Linked DNA regions of Canis lupus familiaris. The protein of the gene in region 1 purifies or fractionates together with the protein of each later gene. This does not show direct contact. Links are inferred from orthologs where the notes say so. Each region holds a gene or a part of one and is shown in the gene's direction. Other genes may lie near its edges.

Region 1 (3,645 bases):
TTCACCATTGCCAAGTCCACAGCACCTTGTGGCCAATGTCGAATAAGGTCCACAGCTCCAGATCCTTCCTTTCCTCCAATCAGCCGAGTGGCTTCTTGCCAATCTACAGCTAATTTAGGCTAACTTGGTAGTAATCTTTCTGGCAATATGCTCCCTAATCAAAGCTTAACCTAGAAGGCAGTACTTATCCCAAAGAAGAAATGGAAATGGTGGAATTTACATATCTGACAGATGATAAAGAATCTCTTAAGTAGACAGAGTACCTTGTTCTACCCCTCATGTTATGTGACGTAATAAGCAGCCCCTTATTTTTCACCCTGAAGGACGAAATCACTCATAAACACATGTGTTCTCTTGAAAATTACAACATTTTGTTTTTCTTATTACTGAGAATGACTTAAATTTAATTTCAGTCTCTGCTCCTGAGTGTTTGGCTTTCTAAGGAAAAGGATATTTTGGATAAACCACAATCTGTGTGCTGTCTTCATACAATGCTGTCCCTCCTAAGCAAGATGAAAGGTAACATGCTGGTGGATGTTGCAGTTCCGTGGGCCCTGAGATGCAGGCTGCTGCTCTTAGAGATGTAGATTATTATATGAAAAACCACATAAATGGGAGGGGAGGATACTTTCTGTTAGTAAAAGGAGTGTACACTACAGTGTCCAGAACATTTTTCTAGGGATCTTTTTAAAAATATTTAAAAATATTTCTATTAATATTTCTATTAATAAGTAGAAAGCTCTCAATGCATTCAAAGTATGCTTTATAAAAATTAAATTCATATTTCATCATCAAAAATAATGTGATACAGGCAGCCTGGGTGGCTTAGTGATTTAGCGCCGCCTTCAGCCCAGGGTGTGATCCTGGAGACCCGGGATCAAGTCCCATGTTGGGCTCCCTGTATGGAGCCTGCTTCTCCCTCTGCCTGTGTCTCTGCCTTTCTCTCTCTCTTTTTCTGTCTCTCATGAATAAATAAAATCTTTAAAAAAATGTGATATGAACAATGCATTATTATTTTTTATTTTTTTTAAAGATGTATTTATTCATGAGAGATGCAGAGAGAGAGAGAGAGAGAGAGGCAGAGGGAGAAGCAGGCTCCATGCAAGGAGCCTGACATGGGACTCGATTCCGGGTCTCCAGGATCAATCACATCCTGGACTGAAGGTGGCGCTAAACCGCTGAGCCACGGGGGCTGCCCTTTATTTATTTTTTTAGTAAGATTTTATTTATTTATTCATGAGAGAGACACAGAGAGAAAGAGTCAGAGACACAGGCAGAGAGAGAAGCAGGCTCCATGCAGGGAGCCCAATGCGGGACTTGATCCTGGGTCTCCAGGATCAGGCCCTGGGGTGAAGGCGGTGCTAAACCGCTGAGCCACCCGGGCTGCCTGAACAATGCATTTTTAATTCATTGAGGTAAATCATACGATCTTTGGTAGAGGTAATTTTTAAGATTCTTTTTGACCTCATTAGAATAATCTTTTATATTATATATAATATATATAGTCTGTTTTATTAGAACATTATTTAACATTTTATTAAAACATTCAATAGTAGTTTTCAGCAATGATGAAAATATTCCAGAGATTTAAAGTTGATTCAGAAGCAAGACAACACAACCTAAATAAATGGAATATAAATATTCTGATAAAAGAAGTTGTGGAAGGTGCTTGGGTGACTCGGTTAAGCGTCTGTCTGCCTTCTGCTCAGGTCATGATCCTGGAGTCGTAGGATCAAGCCCCATGTCAGGCTCCATGCTCAGCAGGGAGCCTGCTTCTCCCTCTCCCTCTGCCTCTTGTGCTTATGCTCTCTCTCTCTCTCTCTCTGTCAAATAAATAAAATCTTTTAAAAAGTTGTGAATTTCTTTTCTAATTCAGAAATATACAAGTATATCACTGAGATATTTAGTTTCAGTGTATGTTTAATGTTAAAGATTGAACAGAAAGAATTGACAAGTTGAGTTTCTTTAACTTTCTCTTTTTGCCTTTAGTGGCCATCGACGAGACCTGGGATTCCCAGTCTGTGTCCCCTTGGTGGCAGCAGATGCGCACAGCTTGTATTCAGTCTGAGAACAATGGCGCTGCCCTGTTGTCTGCACACGTTGGGCATTCCGTTGCCGCACAGATCTCAAACAGTATGACTGAGAAAAAAGTAAGTGAGAAAGGGGCGTACTTGTCCTTGGATAAGCTGGATTTGTACCTGCCCAGCCTGCTGAGGGGCTGCTTTGCCTTGCCTGGGGCTGCAGTGTCTTTGGTGTTATGGAACATCTCGAGTTTGAAATATGTGTCCAGCAGGTTCTCATTTGTCTTTTGCGGAGTGAGGAGTGCAGCCCTTAACTTGTTTATTCAGATGACATGCATATTTGAACTTTTCCATTACCTCGTACTTTTCATCTCGAGGGGAAAAGTACTGTAGTTGGAGGGCAGAGATGTGACTCTGCCAATGGCAGGTGATTTGTGGTAAGTCCCTTAAACATGAGCTTCCTGCTTCAGGTTCCTCATCTAAAGGAGGTCAGGGTTCCTCATCTGAAGGAGGCAGGTTAGACTGCATTATTTCTGAGGTACTCTGAAGTTCTGTATAGTTGTATTTATAGCCCTCCCCTTTTATAAACAAAAGTTGTTTTGGGCAAGTAGCGTTGAAGGATTCAAATAAAAGTTTCCTTTTGACCTTTTGCTTTGTGGTTTTCCCTCATCTCTTGAAGACTCAAATTTATTAAAAAAACAAACAAACAAAACAGACATCTCTTGTATCTCATGGTAGATCAAATAATTTTTTTCTAGAGGGATGTTGCATTTAATCAGATGAGTCACTGAAATAGGCCTGTAGAGATTCACTTAACATTGTGAATCTCAGTAGTATGTATGCTAAATTTAATATTACTGGCATAAGATGTTTATGATAATGGAGAGAAAAGAAATTTGAGGCACATTTTGTATATCGGTGGGTGCGTTCTCAAAAGTACACTACCAGCACTATCCCGGTACTGACAGAAAAAAACGTGGCCCTTGTCAAGGATGGCTCTGCACACTTGTCGAAGTACACACTGGGTGAATCAGGCGTTGCTGCAGGTCTTTCTGTAAATGTCCAGACTCTGTCACTGTTGCCCCCAAGTCAGTCATGTTCCATCCAGCTACGTAGTAATATTCGGGAATCTGCATCTGTGTGCTGCTGTGATGTATCCTTACTGTCCGTCAGCTTTCAAGTTAAAAGCTCATTTAAGTGAATGCTGATCCGGAATCTTTGCCAGAGTATCACCAGTACATTTTGTGTTAGTTTTCCCAGACAGTTTTGGGTGCTGATTCTGAGGCCCTCACTGATTCCTGGGAGGCCCTTTCTCTTGACACTGAGTATTGGAAGCTTCTGCTGAAACAGCTGGAGGATTGTCTCATACTTCAGACCCTACTTCACAGCAAAGCAAACACATCAACCTGCAAAGTGTCGTCGCTGCAGGCTGAGCCACTCCCAAGGCTTTCTGTCAAAAAGTTATTAGAAGGAGGAAAGGGTAAGCTGATGTTTATTTATTTGAGCATTGTGCCTATGTATCTGTATGTTATGGTGTGGGCATTTCTGGTAGTTTTTATAGAAATGATGCAAGAATAAGGAAAGAGAAATATATTCAGATTTAAAAAATTAACCCACCACATAT
Region 2 (3,745 bases), on another chromosome or scaffold:
GCGCCTGCGCACAGCGCCGGGAGGGGCTCCGCGCGCGCAGCTTCCCGCCGCCCGAGCGCGCGCAGGGCCAGCCGGCCGGCCCGCCTGCGTGCGTGCGTGCGTGCGTCGCTGCGTGCGTGCGTGCGTGCCGTGCGTTCGCCGGGCACCGCGGCCTCGCCCTCGCCCTCCGCCCCTGCGCCTGCACCGCGTAGGCCGCCCCCCCCCGCGCGCGCCCCGCAGACGACCCCCGCCCGCGTCCCGGCCGGCCCCCCCTTTCCGAATTTAAAGGGGGCGCAGCATTAACGCCTCCCGCCCCAGGTGACCTCTCAGGGGGTCCCCCCGGCAGAGCTGCCCCGCCGCTGAGGAACATGGCGAAGGTGGAGCAGGTCCTGAGCCTCGAGCCGCAGCACGAGCTCAAATTCCGAGGTAAGCGGGACGCCCGCCATGTTCGGCCGCGGGCCCGGCCCGGCCGCCCCGCGCCCCCGCCCGCGCTCGCAGGCACCGGCGGCGCGGTGGTGACGTGAGTGCCCGCCCGGCCCGCGGTCCCCGCCCCGCCCCGCCCGACGGCGCGCCCGCCCCGCGCCCCGCGCCCCGCGCCCCCCCGGCGGCCCCGGCCCCCGCCCCGCCCGCCCGCCTCCCCCCGAGCCGCCCGGCCCCGGAGGCGCGGGGCGCGGTCCCCGTCCCTGCCGAGCGCGCGCCGCCCTCCCGCCCCCGGGGCCGCCGCCTCCGGGCCCCCCGCGGCGGGCACCCGCCGTCTGCCCTGCCTCACCTCCGCTTGGCGCCCGCCGCGCCGCCGCCACCTCGGGGGAGGTTTTACGCACTTGTGTGCTGCGCTCCCGGCTGGACGGGAAGCTCCATGAGGGCAGGACGCGCCGCTCCCTGCCGGGCGCCGGGCACACACCGGCAGGGGGACGAAGCGCCCCGCGCAGGTGGTGGGACGCGGCCCGGGGCCTGCAGCTGGCGTCCCGGCGCCCACGGCCCCGTCTGCGCGGGGGGCGGGGGCGGCGGCGGGGTCCCCGCAGGGCGCGGAGCTCCCCGGCCCCCCAGCAGCTGGGCCCTCTGGGAAGTGCCGCTTCGCACTTCTTGGGGTTTATCTGCCCTGCTTTTTCCCCCGACGACGAAGTACAGGCGTCACGGGCCGTGGGCACCACGTCAGACTTGCCCAGTCTCCTTTTTTTTTTTTTTTTTTTTTTTTAATTAAGATTTTGTTTATTGACTCATGAGAGACACAGGCCGAGGGAGAAGCAGGCTCCATGCGGGGAGCCCGACGCGGGACCCGATCCCGGGTCTGAAGGCAGCGCTAAGCCACTGAGCCACCCGCGCTGCCTAGTCTTTCCTTTTACAACGTGTTGAGTCACCGTCTGCTAGGTGTCTGGTTGGCATCAGAGAGGCAAGGAATGAACAAGCGACCCTCCCGTTCCCCTCCCCAGCTTCGAGCTTACCTCCTCGTGGTGGGGGCGGGAGGGGAGACAAATCAGCAAAAGAAGAGTACTTCAGATTGTGGTAAGTTCCGTGAAGGACATACAAAATAACAGCAGGTGACCTGATGAGCCTATGCTTCAGGTCGGGTGGCCAGGTCACCAGGGGCCGCCAGCGCTTGGCCGGCAGCAGGTGCTCGGTAGGCATCTGTGGAACGGATGCTGGCCAGAGGCACCCTCATCTATATGCACTGGCAGGAGGTAGGACAGGGGAGCTTACCCAGAGTTACCCGGTTGGCACATGGCACGTTTGAACTCAGACTTCAGAGCTCACGCTCTTAACTGTTCTGCCGTCTGACCCCTGGGAAATACTCTAGAGCTGTGGCTGTCACTTTGCCTCCCAGAATAACAATCTGAAATGACTCCAAATGGTATAATGAACCAAAAGATTTTCCAGTTAAAACGAAAATATAAACCCCACAAACCTAACATTGGTTGTGATTCTGGTGGCAGTACTTTGTCCTGGGTGACGTTCTCATGGCCTTCTTCTAGAGCAGCCAGACTCGGGAACAGGGAGCGCAATAGTTTCCGCTCGAATCGTCTGAAGTTCTCTACTCTAGAAGCAGGATTCTGCTACTCCTGAGTATTGGCACATTCATTCGTTCAGTTCACATTTACTGAGTGGCTGCTGCACATGTCAGGTACCAGGGAAGAAGAATCACTTTCGCCCTCAATCCCCCCACCCCAGGCCTTAAGTCTAGGGAAGGAGGCAGATGACAGACCCATCCAGGACAGGTGCAATGATGGAAGGTAATCAGAGTACTCCAAGAGCAGTAAGGAGGTCAGATCCTGGAAAAGGTGTCATTTGAGCTGAGTTTAAAGGTCAAATGGAAGAGACTGAAAGAATGGGGGGGGGGGGGGGGGGCGGGAGCGCGTCAGGCAGAGGAAATCCCATGTGTAGAGGCAAAAAGCCTGAGATGACTGGACCCCTTTGGCAGCAGCAAAGAACATTTGTTGGGGTAGCAAGGCAAGGTAGGGGATGAGACTAGTTAGACAGGAGTAACGTCCAAGGTCTCCTGTGCCTGGACACAACCAGTATCCAAGTTCAAATTGTGTCGCTTCTCCTTAGCTAGTTCTTCCTTGATTGATTCCCATCCCCCTACCTGTCTCCCAGTACATACACTCATCTGTTAGGTTTTTGAAAGAGGTTCTGATTTTTGAGAAAAAGTTTTGGTTTTTTTACGTAAAGATGTTTGATCTTTGGCTGGCAAGTTCACCCCTCAAAGTTAGGTCATTTGTCAGTCCATGGGGATGGAACTCACATCTACTTGCTTCTTTTTTTCTTTTAAAGATTTTATTTATTATTGGGGGAACAGAGAGGCAGAGACACAGGCAGAGGGAGAAGCAGGCTCCATGCAGGGAGCTCGACGTGGGACGTGGGACTCGATCCCAGGACTCCAGGATCACCAGGATCACGGCCCTGGACCGAAGGCGGTGCTAAACCACTGAGCCACCTGGGCTGCCCTACCTTGCTTCTTAGAGAAAGTTCTGTTGTTGCTTAGTGGTGATACTGTGGCTGTTCAGCTTTATAAATGCACAATATTATACAGAGATGGCTGGTTGTATTTAGACAACTGATTTCATCATTTCAACTTCTTTACCTGAAAGGTAAGGCAGAGAACAGTGACCTTTGGCCCTGGGTTGCCCAAAGTAATAATGGTCAAAGTCACTGGATATTTTTGCTAGGGAAGTGGTCCAAGAGAAGTCATGGTATCAGATTGTTGAAGGCTGTTGGCTCGCAACTTCAGAAGAGGCATCTGCAGGCGTGTGTAAACCACTTTATGAGATTGGTTTATTTGTTTTAAACTGAGCACTAAAACAAATTAGAGACTCAGTACTCTGGCTTGCTGCGTAGAGTTCATTCATTTCAGGGTGAGAACTGCCACATTTAACTGATCTGTTCCAAGTTATGCAGAGTGGTGACTAACTTTAGGTGGTTCACTTAGATGAACCAAACCTGTAGGCTGACTTAATAAGAAGGAAATAATTAAAATGCCTAAAATAATACAACCTTATCCAAAGGAAAAAAGTTAATTTTCTTTTAAAGGAGAAAAAGAAGCATCTTTTAAATGCAGCCTAAGATGATAAGGGATTATATATGTTGGATTCTTTTTCATTTTGGGCATTTTGTGTGATTCTGTTGAGGTTAAGGATGTTTTTGAGGAAAAGAGAATGCAGACTTATGTGACTTTGTTCAGACTTCTTGACAGTGCCAGGCAGCACTGTGTTAAGTATCAAAAGAAGAACTGTTGGCCTCCTGAAAGAAGCATGACACTGTGACATTTGTC

What was found. The genes of interacting proteins can lie anywhere in the genome.
Region 2: the proteins of RAB3GAP2 (region 1) and VAPB purify together in Homo sapiens (affinity purification with mass spectrometry; 4 studies listed by BioGRID and IntAct, counting the BioPlex papers as one, with this or other methods). This does not show direct contact. The link is inferred for Canis lupus familiaris from reciprocal best matches to the Homo sapiens genes RAB3GAP2 and VAPB.

What each region holds. Positions count from the first base shown.
Region 1 is NC_049259.1:15,625,986-15,629,630, reverse strand, and holds part of RAB3GAP2 (rab3 GTPase-activating protein non-catalytic subunit), read left to right. Parts: intron 1-413; coding exon 414-519; intron 520-1,989; coding exon 1,990-2,150; intron 2,151-3,272; coding exon 3,273-3,501; intron 3,502-3,645. UniProt on the Homo sapiens protein: Regulatory subunit of the Rab3 GTPase-activating (Rab3GAP) complex composed of RAB3GAP1 and RAB3GAP2, which has GTPase-activating protein (GAP) activity towards various Rab3 subfamily members (RAB3A, RAB3B, RAB3C and RAB3D), RAB5A and RAB43, and guanine nucleotide exchange factor (GEF) activity towards RAB18.
Region 2 is NC_049245.1:43,929,783-43,933,527, forward strand, and holds the start of VAPB (vesicle-associated membrane protein-associated protein B/C), read left to right. Parts: upstream 1-1,319; 5' UTR 1,320-1,376; coding exon 1,377-1,482; intron 1,483-2,974; exon of another isoform or gene 2,975-2,989; coding exon of another isoform or gene 2,990-3,065; intron 3,066-3,745. UniProt on the Homo sapiens protein: Endoplasmic reticulum (ER)-anchored protein that mediates the formation of contact sites between the ER and endosomes via interaction with FFAT motif-containing proteins such as STARD3 or WDR44.